Linked DNA regions of Alligator mississippiensis. Each later gene encodes a partner of the first gene's protein in a complex. Links are inferred from orthologs where the notes say so. Each region holds a gene or a part of one and is shown in the gene's direction. Other genes may lie near its edges.

Region 1 (7,337 bases):
TCTGGAGGTCCCCTATCATGTCATCCCCTGTTGCCAATACCAGATCCAGTATGGCATTCCCCCTAGTGGGACCATGCACCTCCTGTGTCAGGTGGAGGTCCTGTACACAGGTTAGAAACCTGCGTGAGCGATGGGACCTTGCTGTCTGCGTCTCCCAGCAGATGTCCGGGTAGTTTAGGTCCCCCATGACTACCGCCTCTTTAGCTTTTATGGTCTCCAAGAGCTGCCTCAGGAGCCCCGCATCTATTTCTTCCCCTTGGTGTGGAGGTCTGGAGCAGACCCCTACCACCAAATCCCTTTCTCCTTGCCCCCCATGTAGCCTAACCCACAATCCTTCTACTTCCTCAACCTCGGATTCTGTCTTGATGAGGGTTGATGTATATTGCTCACTGACATAAAGTTCAACCCCCCCCCCTTTCTTCCCCGACCTGTCCTTTCTGTACAATCTATAGCCCTCAATATGTACCGCCCAGTCATGGGATGAATCCCACCAGGTCTCTGTTAGCCCCACTAAGTCATAGGTGTTTAGTGCAAGCAGGAGCGCTAGTTCATCCTGCATTAGTATATAGGCACTTGAGCCCTGCGACTGGTGCCTTTGCTGCCCCCCCGCTCCGAGTCCCAAGGGGATTCACCAAGGGCAAGTCATGCCTGACCAACCTGATGGCCTATGATGAGATGACTAGCTCTGTGGATGTCGGAAGAGCAGCAGACATGATATACCTTGACTTTAGCAAGGCTCTTGATATAGAAGATTTAGAGTTGGAAAAACTTAGAGTTGGAAGGAACCTCAGGAGGTCATCTAGTCCAATCACCTGATCAAATTAAGACCATCTCCAACTAGATGACTCTAGCCAGGGCTTTGTCAAGCTGGGCCTTAAAAACCTCCAATGAAAATGGATAGAGGGCTGGGGCACATGGCTTCTGAGGAGAAGCTGAGGGAACTGGGCTTATTTAGTCTGCAGAAGAGAAGACTGAGAAGGAGTTTAATAGCAGCCTTCAACTACCTGAAGCGGGGTTTCAAAAGGAATGGAGTTAGATTGTTCTTCATGACAGAAGATGACAGAACAAGGAGCAATGGTGTCAAGTTCTTGGAACCACACGAATTAAAGCACCTCCACCCCGCCGCCTCCCAGAGCAAATCTGTAAATGCCCTTAGTGTTAAAACTGTGTTCTGATCAGTCACATGGTACTGTTTACTAGGATCTGTGTCATGCACAGCTTGCTGATTGTTAGTCCCAGCCCCGTACCTTACTGGAGTCTTGAACCAGCTATGGTGTGGTATGGTATGGTGCCAGGACTGTTACCAATGATCAGCTGATTGCCCTGGGACCTTCTGGAGTTGAAAGCACCTGGCTTTCCATGTGATCTTGGAAGAATCTGACAAGTAAAAAATCCAGGATTCTTACCCTTGACATGTGACTTTCCTTGTCTTATCTAGAGGCTTGGTACATCAGAGGGATCCATGGCTGATATTATGGCTTAGTGAGGACTGTAGATTGCTTATTATCTCTGTGGAACAGTCTAGTGTTGGTCAAATGCATAATATTTAATATGATTTGGAGATGCTCCTTGTGCAAAAAATAGGGACTTTGCTACAATGTGAGAACACTTAGAATGTTTTACTGGTTAAACATGGGGTTACTCTCATTTTTAAGTGCATTTAATACATGCTAAGTGTAATATGCAATGTGGCTGTAAGTTGCTATTTGCTTCTAAGTCAGAGCCCTATAATCAGGACGTTCCTTCAGCTACAGAGTCTTCACCTTTAATTTACTCTAAGTCCTAGACACCATTATTTTAACCAAGCTTAACAGGCATATATGAGCACTGTACATTCTTCCCTTGATTTTTTTTTCTTCAGTTTTTTGATTGATCTCAGTGATTATTGCTCCTTATTTCTCTACCTTTTCCACATTGTCATTACCTATACTTACCTTCCTGTGGTCTTGAGATTTATTTCTGGATGTGAGGTTAACTAATTATAATAAATATCAGTTTCCTCTATATCCATAAATATGACTGAACAGAGGTGCAGCAGGGCAGCTCTGTACCTAGGTCAGCCACGACATCTGGGGCAGCATGAGCTGCCACCAAGCCAATAGAAGTGGTGCAATTACCTACAGGAATGACTATTTCTGTGCCCCCCATGAAGGTGGCACCTGGGGTTGCTGCCCTATTGTCCTTCCTATCTATGTCTCCTTTGTTACACTACTATGGCTAAATCAGGATGAATAAGGAAAACCTGAAGTAAAACTACTTTTATCAAAGATGCAAAAAATTCATCTCCATCCCAGTCTATTTCAGCTTCTAGATCTACAACAATCTGTCCATTTGCTGGTTCACCCAGACTTTGCTTAAACTCAAGCTATGCTCAAATGAAAACTGTACTGAGCATTTATGACTCAAAAATATCTAGGACTCTTATTTGTCACAAACTGGAGCAAACAGCTTTATATTTCAACAATTGCTTATACATATTTATTCATTATGTTCTTTGAGGATGATGAGCTTTCTTATCAGTGAACGTGACTTGAAGAGGTCTCAGATCTTAATAGCTTTGATTCCAATTAGAAATAGAATACATTCTAAGACCTTTTAAATCCATCATTTTATTGTTAATGTGGCACAACAATAAATAGCTGATGGTGTTGGGAAGTTCAACAGGAATCTGCTGTTTGATAGTAAACCAGTTTATTCCTTTAGCTTACGTAGTCCTAAATCTGTGACCATGACAAATTTAATATCCTCTGAGAGCTAATTCCTAGGGACTTACTAAAATTGCAATTTTGTAATTTTCATGGACACTGAGATTTTGGGTAGGCTCTGTGATAAAGTGAAGGCTCTGTGCTTTTGGCAGGCTCCCTGGAGCGGGGTGGGGGGAATTTACCAATAATAAAAAGCTGGCTCCCTTTGGGAGGGGTGAGGGTCAGGGCTGTATGATAGACAGCCCTTGCAGCCAATCAATGGTGAGGGGGAAGACCACTCGGGCCCTTGGTCAATAAGACACAAGGGGGGGGGGGGCTGCCTCACTTGGCCATGAAAATGGTTGCCAGCCCTAATCTGCCTGCAAAATTGACCAGCAGCCACCTTGAGTTCACTCATTACCAATTTTGCTGTAGACAGATCCTTTTCATTCTACTTATTCAGAAGTCTCTTATAGACTTTATAGAATTTACATGCCTAAGAAAAGGTTGAATACCTTTTTATTGTTCATGTTTGGGTCTATCAGACAGTCCTGGTCTGGTAGAACAGTACGAAAAGGTAATAAAAGACAAACTACATTTACTGATGATGAGTTTGAACTGGTACTCTACCTTCTTCAAGTTAGAGCCCTGTGTTTTCATTTTGTTCTGACAGAGAAATAAATATTTGGCTTGCCTTGGAAGCTCATAAACTTAAAAAGTATTGATGATGAATTGATAAGAGATGCCCTTTGATTTAGCACCTGAGCTTTTCATTAGTCAATTGAATTTTTCACTTATTCTATTTGGCTTCTGGTAATGGCTCAATGCTTTTATCTGATGAGTTTTTATGTGGCATAAGGCCTCCTCTACACATGCATGTAAAAGCACAATAGGATCTAATCTGTGGTCCACACAATATAGGATCTAAAATGTGATCCTTCTGCATGACAGGAGGCGTGATTGTGGGATCCAGATTAAGATCCTATCACACCTTATTGCTGTACAGGGGGACCTGGGATCATGTTCCTGGGATCCCTTTATACCAGCAAGTAGGGCACTTGCAGCCCTGGTGTGTGGGATGTAGCCAAGGCTGTGAGTTCCAGCAGCGGTGGGACTATGACTACCCAGTTATGGGGAGCATGATATGATTCTCACAGCTAGGAGATCACAGCTTCTACGATCTCCCAGCTATGGGGGCATACTATGGATGCTTGGGGCTGGAAGCTTACAGTCACACCCTGCAGCTGCCAGGACCCAGAGTCTTGCAGCTGCTGGGCACTGCAAGGGCTGAGAGTCCCATCAGCCTCAGCTGGGCATGGTGCACCCCTGTGGCTGCAGGGGATACCCTGCTAGATATGCAAATTTAAAGCTGAATAGCAACCAGCTATAAAGTTAGTACACATTTTTTAGGTCTAACTTTATAGCTGGTTGGACCCTTTTATGGTGTGATAGGCACTTTTCATGTGTAGCTGGTCTCAGTTTAATTGCCCAATTAACCAGTTAATTGCACAATTGCAGTAACATGTGGAGAGGGCCTAAGAAGAAGAATGGTTTAATTCACTCTGGTTCCTACTGGATTGATGTCTGTATCATACTGCAACAACCATGGATCATGCATGGATTGCCCATATTTCCTGGTACAGCGCAAGAAGAATGAACTGGCCTCTCACCACAAGTGTGCAGTCCATTCAGCCCATTAATAAGGTACAGCTACTAGTGGGGTGTGAAGGAGCTTATATTATTTTTGCTTGCTTACACTATTTCTAGTTTTCTTGTCTGATAGCAGTAAAAATACTTTGTAACATATATTCAAGTCAGATGAAACTCTCCGTTCCCATTTTTATTGCTATTGTCTATTAAGATACTTGTGTACCATACCAAGAGTTTCTCTTTTCTTTAAAAAGTTATAGATTATTTTGTAATTCAGTAGTGCTCACATAGAAATATTTATATCCTGTGAAATCAATAAGCTATTAAAAGCTATTAAAAACTCTCCCCCTTGCCTGATCCTCCCTCCAGTGAAGTGGGGGAGGAGAGGTTGTTATGCATAAGTATCAGAATCATAAAAAGCAACAGGAGGAAGTCACTTAAGCTAAACACTCCAGCTCTTCAGCTTTTGGGGGTTTGAATCTCAGTGGAGAAAAGAAAAATTGTAATGGAAGATGCCAGAACTATTTCATCCATTTGTGGCATTTCTGTGTCTAATTTAAAAGGTCTTACTTGATCCTTAGAGGAATGCTACCAACTTGAATTTTGTCAATTAAAAAAAAAAAGTAGATACAGGAAATTGCATGAAAAAACCCCTGTAAAACTTGAGTTCTTCCTTTTCATGCTCTCCATTGATTTCTTTAGGGCTGGACCTGAGGGTGGCAGTTAGCAGTTTAGGAAATAATTTGCACCTACTCCATAAAACATGAACAGCTATGCTGACTCGTGCATCTGTGTCATGCATAATTGACAGCAGCCTTTATTCATGAGATCTGATTCTCCCCTCCATCCCCCAAAGTCTTTTCTATAAACTGTGTCAATATTCAGCTTGTCTTTTTCAGATTTCTAAAAACAATGCTTGGGCATGTTGATCATGTTTTTAAGTGGAAACTGTACCTATAATACGTGCTTATATAGACTGCACCAAAATCAAATAATTTACCAGTTAAGGAATAAGGCAGCCTTGGACATAGTAAATAGAATAGAATAGAAGGTGTGCTTCTCGATACACTAAATAATCAAGGTGGTAATTAGCATCTTATAATGCAAAGCCACAAAAGGCTATCTCTGTGATCCAGTCTGACCCCCTTCATTTTCAAGAAATGATACATTTCATCTTGACTGCTAATGCATTTTTAATCTAATCAACTCATGAATATCTGCACTGATGGTATCCTGACCCCCTCCTTTAAGTATGTTTTACCTTCATCCTATTTATTATAACTAGTAACTTGCAGTATACTTAATTCATATGCTGCATTTTTTCTTCTGTAACTATTGCTGTATCTCCTAAAAATATGAGGAAATATTTCTTCTTTTATATAATTATCCCAGTTATGTCACATGTTAGACTTGAGTTATCTGTTTGGACACAGTGATCATTTGCCTTTTATTGGTTTATTCTTTATTCTTCCCTCTTCCCCCCCCCCTCCCCTGCCTCCCCCTCCCCCCCGAATCTGAATTTGCAAACTAGTTCAGGAAATGTTCAATTTACTTATTTTGGTCCAGTTTTTGCTTCATTGAAAGTCTCCCAGGCTCACTTCACTACTAATCATATATATTCATATTGCTGTCTGATGAATTTTTGTAGTCTTGCAATAGTACCTCTTCCAAAACTGAAATCAACACAGTATTCTAAATATTGTTACCCAGGGCTATGGAAAGTAGCACTGTCATCTCCATCTTTTATATGAAATTACCTGCATCTGTATCCAAGAACAGAGCTGGATTTTATTGTCTTATTATATTTTCCTTGCTTTAGTAGCACACACTAAGGTTTTGCTTTCTGTTATTGTTCCCCATTCTTTCCTGGGCTTAGTACTTTCCAAGTAGTTTCCTTTCAATTTCTGTCACTAGTATTTCCTTCTTTATCCATATAGTACAATGTGACTTTACATGGACTAATACGCAGTCTCATTTCATTGTGTGCAATCTACTTTCCTATTTTGAAGTAGCATACAAGCTTGGTACTTTCTTTCTGGGATTTCTACATCTCCAATAGACTGATATTTAGATTGTTAATAAAATGTTGTAAATAGGGATCCTGGTAGTGAACTCTGCAGTACTCCTATGTGATTTTTCTAAGTCTGTGTCCAAACATTCAAATCAACCAGTTGAACATCAGCAGTTGAAATTCAAACAGTTGAATTTTTTTTTTCCAAATGGCTTAAACTGCATATAAGTGAAAAGGGGATCTGCATGTTTTGCAGACCAGCCTGCAATGTGAAAAGGACCTAGCCAGGGGGACCCAAACCACACATCCCATCATGTTTTGCAGGCTCCTGTCTGCCTGGTTATGGGAGACAGCAGCCCAAGGTCATAGCTTAGGGCCAGCAGACTGGTGCTTCAAAAGACTCTGCTTCCCCATTCTCCACACCTCCCCTCCAACAACATCCCTTCCCTCCCTCGGCTGTCAGGCTGTCATGCACTAAACCTATGTGTCTGTGGTGCTACATACTGCGTAGCCGCACTTGTCTGGATGCAACCAAACTGTGGGGATCTGGCCCCATGAGATTCTACTCTCACCCCTGCATGGACATGGCCCAGTGTCCTAGGTTGGATCTGCGGTGAAGGGATAGGGGAGCCAGGGACACTGGTAATGATAACTGCCAAAACTATTTATAAACCCAGAAATGGCTCTGAAGCAACCATAACTTCTTTAATTGTAGCGCTTTGTTATGAAAGTCTGAAAAATCAGAGGTTGGCATGAAGAAAGTGTCGGCAGATTTAATATGTAGTTGATTCATAAAAAACATGAAGGTGAGACCACGCTTAATTTCTTGAGCTATGACAAGTTTATGCTAATAATATTTCAAGTGTAAGATAAGTTTTATACTTAATAGGTATAAAAGATTGAGTTTATTTTCCCTTTGACTGGTCTGTTATCACTTTTCATGATTTTTCTCTCATAATAATGTTCTTTAGTATATGATGATGTTTCTTTGA
Region 2 (7,317 bases), on another chromosome or scaffold:
GTAGTTAAAGCTACAACCACTTCATAGGAACAGGCTCTAGTTGTTGTCCTTAGCTGGCTCTCTCTAGCAAAGATCCCTTTTCTTATGCTTTGTTTTATGCCCCTAGAGTTCTCATTACATCAGTTTATCAGATCTGGCCCCAAACTTCCATCCATGCCTGTCTTTATTCTCTCAAAGTGTCCTCATTTACCTGTAGTCCATTCTGGGTGGGTTTTCCTAGATTACCCACTCCTGTCTGCCACCTTTCCACTTGCATTAATGCATTCATAGTAATGCCTTTCTGCTGTCTTAACTTCTTTCTCTCTCCTTGCTTAAGTTGCAGATTCCTGAAAATTTGATCTGTGTTCGTAAATAAGAACATGCTCAAACATATCCCATCCCCTACTCTGTATTGTATTTCCTTAACATACTACTACGTGATTCCCTGCAGTCCATCCCAGGGGCGTGGTTGAGTAGTACAAGGAAGATAATCTTATAATGAGGATAGCATGGGATCCACGGGAGCATCTTATTAGAGGAAGTAACTGAAGTGCGGTAGTTAATGTACAGTCATGTGTCCACTGTTTTCACTGCAGAAATGATGTTTGGGAAGATGTCACCTACTCCCTATTTGAGGAGTCCATGCAAAGTACGTGTCCAAAAGCACGATAACATCAAAACAAGTTCAGTCCAGATCATTATTTCTCAGAGACCTCATTTACTTTCTCCCCTTCCAAGTGAAAATAGCCAAATAAGTAGCGTGGCTTTCAACAGGGTCTAGAAATCACACAGGGGCAGCGTTTCTTGAAGATCGGTAAAGTACATATCAATGTACAACATGTACCTCATTCAGTAAGGGGACTCAGTGATACAGGTACGGGTTAAATGTTCCTCCTATTTCAATATAGCCCAAATAAATATCAGCTAGGGAAAAGCAGAATCTGCATCACACGCACATCAGACACATGGGACATCCTAATGAAAATAGGAAGCCACGCTGCAGCAGAAGTCCTCCATTCTGTTATAACTGAGCTGTGCTCCTGATGGACTTTTTAACCATTCAGTATGCTGTTTTAAAGGAGTGGAGAAACCAGTAACCTGACCCTCCCTCAGTATTACAAGGAGATGTCTATTGAGGAAACTGGACTCCAAACACCAACAACTTCACAGTGGAAAATGAAGCTAATGAAATCAAGAAAAGTCACAGTCCTGCCATGCTTTCACAATGATGGCACAGAGAATGGGACTGAGCATAGCATTCGTTCCTTGAAAGGCTGTCTGTAAGCATTACAACATCCACTTGTGCCTATAGCGAGCTAAGCCGTAGCGCGAGCTCACTGCTGTCACTTTTTCTGCTTTCCAGCTCCATCCTTCTGTCCTGTTTCAGGTTAGTTGTAAAGTCCACAGGCAAATTACAGTGCCTTTATTTTGTGGTTTGTATAATGCCTAACATAATGGGCCTTTGGGGGTTACTGCAATGGAAATAATACCACCAGCATTAAAAAATGTAAACAGTTTAAAAAAAAACTGCTGGATAGCTTTTCTTGTGGATTTCCTCTCAGGATAGACCCAAAATCTCGAACTCATTTTCATAGAAGAATTCCCCCCCCCAAAAAAAGACCTCTGTTAAGCCAATTATTCTAGGAAGTGGAAAATGACCACCAGTGACGTTGCTTGGAAAGTGAGGCCCTTTTAAACATAGCCAATCCAAAGGCTAAATTTAAGTATGTTCTTTCTAAGAGGGGGCTCTTGGGAATGAAACACTGACAAACTCTGAGGATAATTGTAAATGACTTAGTGGTACCTATGCATGTTAAAAATGTCCTTTCAAACACTGGCTTTTCCTTTTTACTGAGTTCCTCTTGGGGTAGAAAAAGCAGGGAGTTAACTTCATGGTCTGAAAAACTTCCTCTTTTTGCATGAGTTTGGCTAGGATCCTGTCGTGGAACAGGCGACTTGACAGTACAGCACTGATCGCCTGATCTAGGAAGCCAGGGTTTCCATACTTCTGATTTGGCTCCTGGTTATTCAGTCTGTTCATTGTAGTCCCTAAATCTATCCTCTTCACTTCCCAGAACAACCAGAATAGCTGTTGTAGGCCAAACAAGGTCACAAGGCCCCTAATTCTACAACACAGAATATCTCAAGATACAAATTTGAGAGTAATTTTTCATAAGGGACGTGTACATAGTTACTTCTGTCATTGACCTTTATGGCATTGTTGCTGTTAAGTGGTTGAAAGGAATAATGTCATTTAGTTGTTTGTTGGCGCCTTTCTGCACTGAGGTAGATTGGAAACTTTTGTCAGCACCTTTCTAGAGAACTTTTGTTTAAACAAATGGCTTGAGACTAGTGCTAACATGGTTGCCTTGGATTATATAGATAAAGCCCAATTTTGTAAGCCAGCATGGACATTTGTGGGATAGTGTACTAGTACTGCTAATGGTGTGTGAAATCTCAGAGCAGGCTTGAGAGCAAAAAGGTTAAGCTGTCTCGGCTAATAACCATAAGAAAATATTTATACATGTTTCCTGTACTGCATCGCTAAGTGTAACTCTGCCTCTCATTTCCTGCGTGAGTCTATTCTTTAAATATCTTGGCTGGGGCAAATAATGCCCTTTTCCAACGAGTCTCTTTCTCTCTCAGAAGGACAAGTCTGAACGAATATAGAATATATATTCCCCAAATCTGAGTGTTCCCTAGCAAACTGTTTCAGCTCAGGAGTCAATCTACCTATCGACTTCATCACTGCAGCTGGGGAAAGAGAAGATGATGTTCTGTGGGAGACGGTTAGAGCCATTGCAATCTCTGATAACCGATGGGGTGGAAACGAGGCCTTTCCTTGCGGCAGCCTAGCCCAGTCCCCCGTTCTGGGTGGACTGGACAGCAGTCAGTTGCTAAGTGGGTGCAACTATTCGATCCCTTCTCAGTTCCCTTCGTCTGGGTACAGTCTAGTCGTGGTTCCCAGGCGCACGCTCCTTCCTCAGCCCGGCTGCCTTGGTCTCAAAATCCAGGGCCTCAGATGCCCTGAGACCATAGTAACAGGTCGAATTCAACCTGGGTTTGTGCACTGCAGCTCCCTTGGAGGTGACCTGGCAGGGAAGTGAGGAAGATGAGCATCAGCAAAGGAACACTTTAACCATAGTCACTTTATTATTTAAAAACATATTAGGAGAGCTACAGACCTTTGCAAAATAGCAGAAGTCCTGAGATGCAGCCCCATCTAGTTTAATCTCATTCCTTCCATAACATGCTTCTGAATAAAGCTGTACAGTCACGCTTCAAGCCCCAAATGCCCGATTCTATAACAGAGCTTCGTACAGAATCTGGATATGAAAGACAGCAAAACACTCTCCTTGATTTATTTGCCCACAAATTTCTGTTGCCTTCTGTTCTCCCTTGTGACCTGAGAATGTTTTTATTAGGCCCAGTGGGATAAATCCACTACTTCCAAACCCCCAGTCAATTTGTCATATCAATTAAGATAATCATATGCAATCCTAAATATATTCCAGGCTACACAGACCTACCAACTTTTACAAGCGCTATTTTTTGATAAAGGTAACATCCTATTAACAGAAGGAGAGAGAAATTCTTGATCACGCTCTTAAAGGCCAGAGGAAAGAAGTCTATTGCATTAATAATCACTCAGCTGCTTAAGAGAAAATCCCATTCAATTTACTTGGCCCACCAAAAATGAAATCACCGTTGCCAATATAAAGCATGTCTATTCACATATCTTCATAAACCCTAAAGGTACAGCTTCTTTGAATCGCTTTTATGGCAGTGCAGACTTCAAACACATACAGTACCTTTGACAGGACTTTCTGAACTCATTTTTACTTTCTCAAAGTAATATCTAACACACATTTTTGCTTCCTCACTCATATTTGGAGCGTTTTCATTTTTGCTTTATATTTATAAATAGGTATGCAACACACTAGGCATGCCAGAGAAATGTGGTGTAAAGTATCAACGTATATGTCTGCAACCGGGTTCTTTCTAATGAAGAAATGACAAAGGCTGTATGATCCTTTTAAGTATTCTGCCACTGTCATTACCTCATTATAACATGACTCAACTTTATCAGCAACACTTTTTAATTCATAATTATTGGTGGTGTCTTATCATCCCACTTTGTCAGTTGTGTGGTAAGGAAATTGTTGTCTAGCAAGTTTGTCTCTCTGACGTGTAACTTCAGGTGTAACCAGCTCGGTGATGTTGCTGCTTTTAGTACTAACTTAATACATAGAAATGACACTCAAGCAAACTAGATGACGCTGGGTGGGTGCCTTGCATTTTTAGGATTGTCCTGAGATTCAAGAGTTTGTTGTGCTGGGCAGCTTCATGTTTTTGGATATAATAGCAGCACTTGAATGTCTCACAACATTGAGGACCCATTCCTATACATGAATGCAAGTGTTCTGAACTGGGGTAAGTTGCTTCTGGATAGTGTACTGTGATGGAAAGTGTACTTTGATGTCCAAAGGGACAATAGAGGGTCTAGGAGAACCTTAAAATGGTGGTAATTTTTTGTTTTTATGAAGTAAGGGGTATTTTGGGGGTGGGGGGTGGGGGGTGCGTGAGAGAAATTTAACTCATTTTTTCCAAGGGCTATGTGACATGAGAATCATTAACACTGGGTGTTTTCAGAGGTGAAACAGGTACGGGGACTTCCATGAATATTGGTGTTAGTGAATGATAATTTGTGCTAGTGAAATAGTCTCCCAACATTCCTTGGCAAGAAGGACCTCAAACAAAACTGCATTTTAAGCATGCTTTCCTCTTCCTCTGAAACCACAGGCAGTGTTGATCCCTGCCAGAGGGGGGATGCCTGGTGCGATGCAATGAGGAGCAGTCGGATGAGGTCCTGTAGAGGTTCTCGAGTGCGGGGCCATGTACAGTGCTGGGTGAGTCGGGCACAGCGGATGCTCCTGCAGCATGTTCCCCCAGGGAAGGAACTGGTACTTTTCATGCTGGATTCTGCCGGGAAAACAAATGAGCTTTTCATGTAGCTCCTTGGGCCTGCTACTGTAAGCCCCCATGACACTTCCTTCGAAGAGAAATATGTAATCATTTCAAGGAAAATGAAAAGGGACATTTTTTCATGTGGTAGATTTTCTGTCTGTAAAGTCTTCATGGGGTACAGAGAATTGCTCTTCTGTTCTATTGCTGACCCTGACTAGCCTTTGCTAGGTACACACAAAAATTGGACATAAAGAACATAAGAGGGTTACTCTCATTTTTCCTTTAGAAAATCTACATTAAAAAAAAAAAGAATAAATAGAAATTACTTCAGTTATTTTTTTCCAGGAACCTAAAAAGAAAAGTCCATCATTTCACATTGGCCCATTGTTTGTTTCTCTTTGTATATTTTTTTCTTAATTTGAACTATGATGATTGTTCAATTGTAATGGGTCAGTAAGTTGGGTTTTTTTGTATTGGTATTAGATGAGCATTAGGTCTGTCTGTGACAACTTGCAAAGTGAGCAACAACTCACTGTAAGGGTGGCACAACCAAGTTCCAGAATAATAATGCCCTTTTCTCGTACTTACTGTATCAGAGCTATGTCTTATATTCTGAATATACTCACAGCCCATTTCAATTTACTCTCTAGTACTAAGAGCTAGCATGACATTTTTATTAGTACATTAACCCCTGCAAATAGGCCATCATAGTAGTCTCTTATACAGTAATGATAGACTAGATGGTGGGACCAAAAGAAAAGATATTGTTCAGATAATCTAGAACACATCCTGTATCAGATTATACAAACTGCATCTCAAATAACTTTATAGACTGCAGAAATGTCAGAAGTTAGAGATCGTGCTTATAAACATATGCCTAGGCGTGCACATTGAAGGTCTTTGTGTGATGGTCGTAGGACTCAGTAAAAACAGATTTATCAGGCTAACAGGACCTCTTACACATACAGCGCGATCCAGAGGATTGATGGTTGCCTACCATGTCCTGCATGGCAATTGGACCAAAGCACTCAGTCATTACCCCAGTAACACTAAGGGAGAAATTGAAGAGGGGCATCTCCAAGTTAATAATGTGTACATTAAACTCATTGATTTCAGTGGGATTTGTAGAGGTATACTGAAGATGAGCATTGGGCTCTATGGGGCATATTTTAAGGCTCTATTTTTTTCTGCTTGCCTTTAAATGGGAGTGCAATCTCAGCGTGTGCTTTGACCACCTCCCTCCTTCGGCCTCTCATGTCCTTGCACTAGTTGTGTCCTCTCACTGCTTACTTTTGAGCCATTCCTCACATTTGAACTATATATCTCGACCATAGCTGTCTCCTTGTGTCTTGTCTCATCCCACCTATTCTGCATACAACTGCGTCCTGACGTCATCGTCGTCCCTCCATTCTTCCTCTTCCACTAAATCACCTTCCTTATTTTGGCTCCAATTTTTGTCTCCACCCTTATTTCCTCCTGTTATTCCCTATAGGACCTCACCTAGCAGCGTTCTTTGTGACCTTCTGAATTCTATGCAAGAATTGCAATTTTTTTTATTGGTGATAATTATTTAAATGGTACACATTTCTGAGTTGTGCTTCTGGTTCATCCTGTAAACATGCATATTAGCAGCATACATTTTCAAAATGTTTTATTTCTCCTTTTTTTTTGTTTTTTAAACCAACATTTTCCAGCACAAGAAGACTTCAGTTTAAGTCCCGCATTGAAGTCTTAAATCACGTGTAATGTCGTACCATTCACCAGTGGCAATCGTGACTTTTTTTCTTGTCTATCCGCTCATTTTGTTACAGTTGAACCAGGGCCCAAGAGTCCCTGGTAGTTACCATAAAAGGGTAAATTTTGAGCTGAGTTCTGCCACTGGTGTCAGAAGTCACTAAACTTGCTCAGAGGTTGATTCTCTTCTCTTCTTCCATCACTGTGCAAAGATTTCTGCCTTTATCTACACAGTAGTTTTAGTGTGACACCAGCCTTCCTATATTGCACCCAGTAGATTTAATATTGCTAGTCTGCTGGAACTTATTGGTTTTCTAAAGCTATATTGGTTGAAATATGAATAGACTTTTTAGATTTAGCAGGGCTGCATAACCACCAGTGCAGTTTATCAAAGTTACTCTGTTCCTCCTATTACTCTCAATATCTGTCGTAATATAAATGGCTAGACTCCCTTCAATTAAATACTGACTTCCTAGTTTTCCTAATGGTGGTATCATATCACCTCTAATACTGCTCTTGTTGAAAAATAACTTACACAAAAATAGTCCAAAATAGAAACTTCAAACCTCAACACATTTTAATTGAACATCTGTGTCTGAATCTGTTCAAAAGGAAGAATTTTGAAAAATATGCTGA

Evidence for each region.
Region 2: the proteins of SNTG1 (region 1) and TRPV3 are in contact, whole or in part, in a crystal structure (PDB 7QQN), measured with the Homo sapiens proteins. The link is inferred for Alligator mississippiensis from reciprocal best matches to the Homo sapiens genes SNTG1 and TRPV3. Residues at the interface, in NP_001274742.1 of Homo sapiens: Arg62, Gly66, Gly67, Phe68, Gly69, Leu70, Ser71, Ile72, Lys73, Gly74, His78, Ser85, Lys86, His118, Glu119, Val122, Arg126; in NP_659505.1 of Homo sapiens: Pro786, Glu787, Thr788, Ser789, Val790.

The regions. Positions count from the first base shown.
Region 1 is NC_081826.1:76,377,348-76,384,684, reverse strand, and holds the start of SNTG1 (gamma-1-syntrophin), read left to right. Parts: upstream 1-4,236; 5' UTR 4,237-4,388; intron 4,389-7,337. UniProt on the Homo sapiens protein: Adapter protein that binds to and probably organizes the subcellular localization of a variety of proteins. May link various receptors to the actin cytoskeleton and the dystrophin glycoprotein complex.
Region 2 is NC_081837.1:2,417,099-2,424,415, forward strand, and holds the start of TRPV3 (transient receptor potential cation channel subfamily V member 3), read left to right. Parts: upstream 1-4,240; 5' UTR 4,241-4,413; intron 4,414-4,782; 5' UTR 4,783-4,875; coding exon 4,876-4,889; intron 4,890-7,317. UniProt on the Homo sapiens protein: Non-selective calcium permeant cation channel. It is activated by innocuous (warm) temperatures and shows an increased response at noxious temperatures greater than 39 degrees Celsius. Activation exhibits an outward rectification.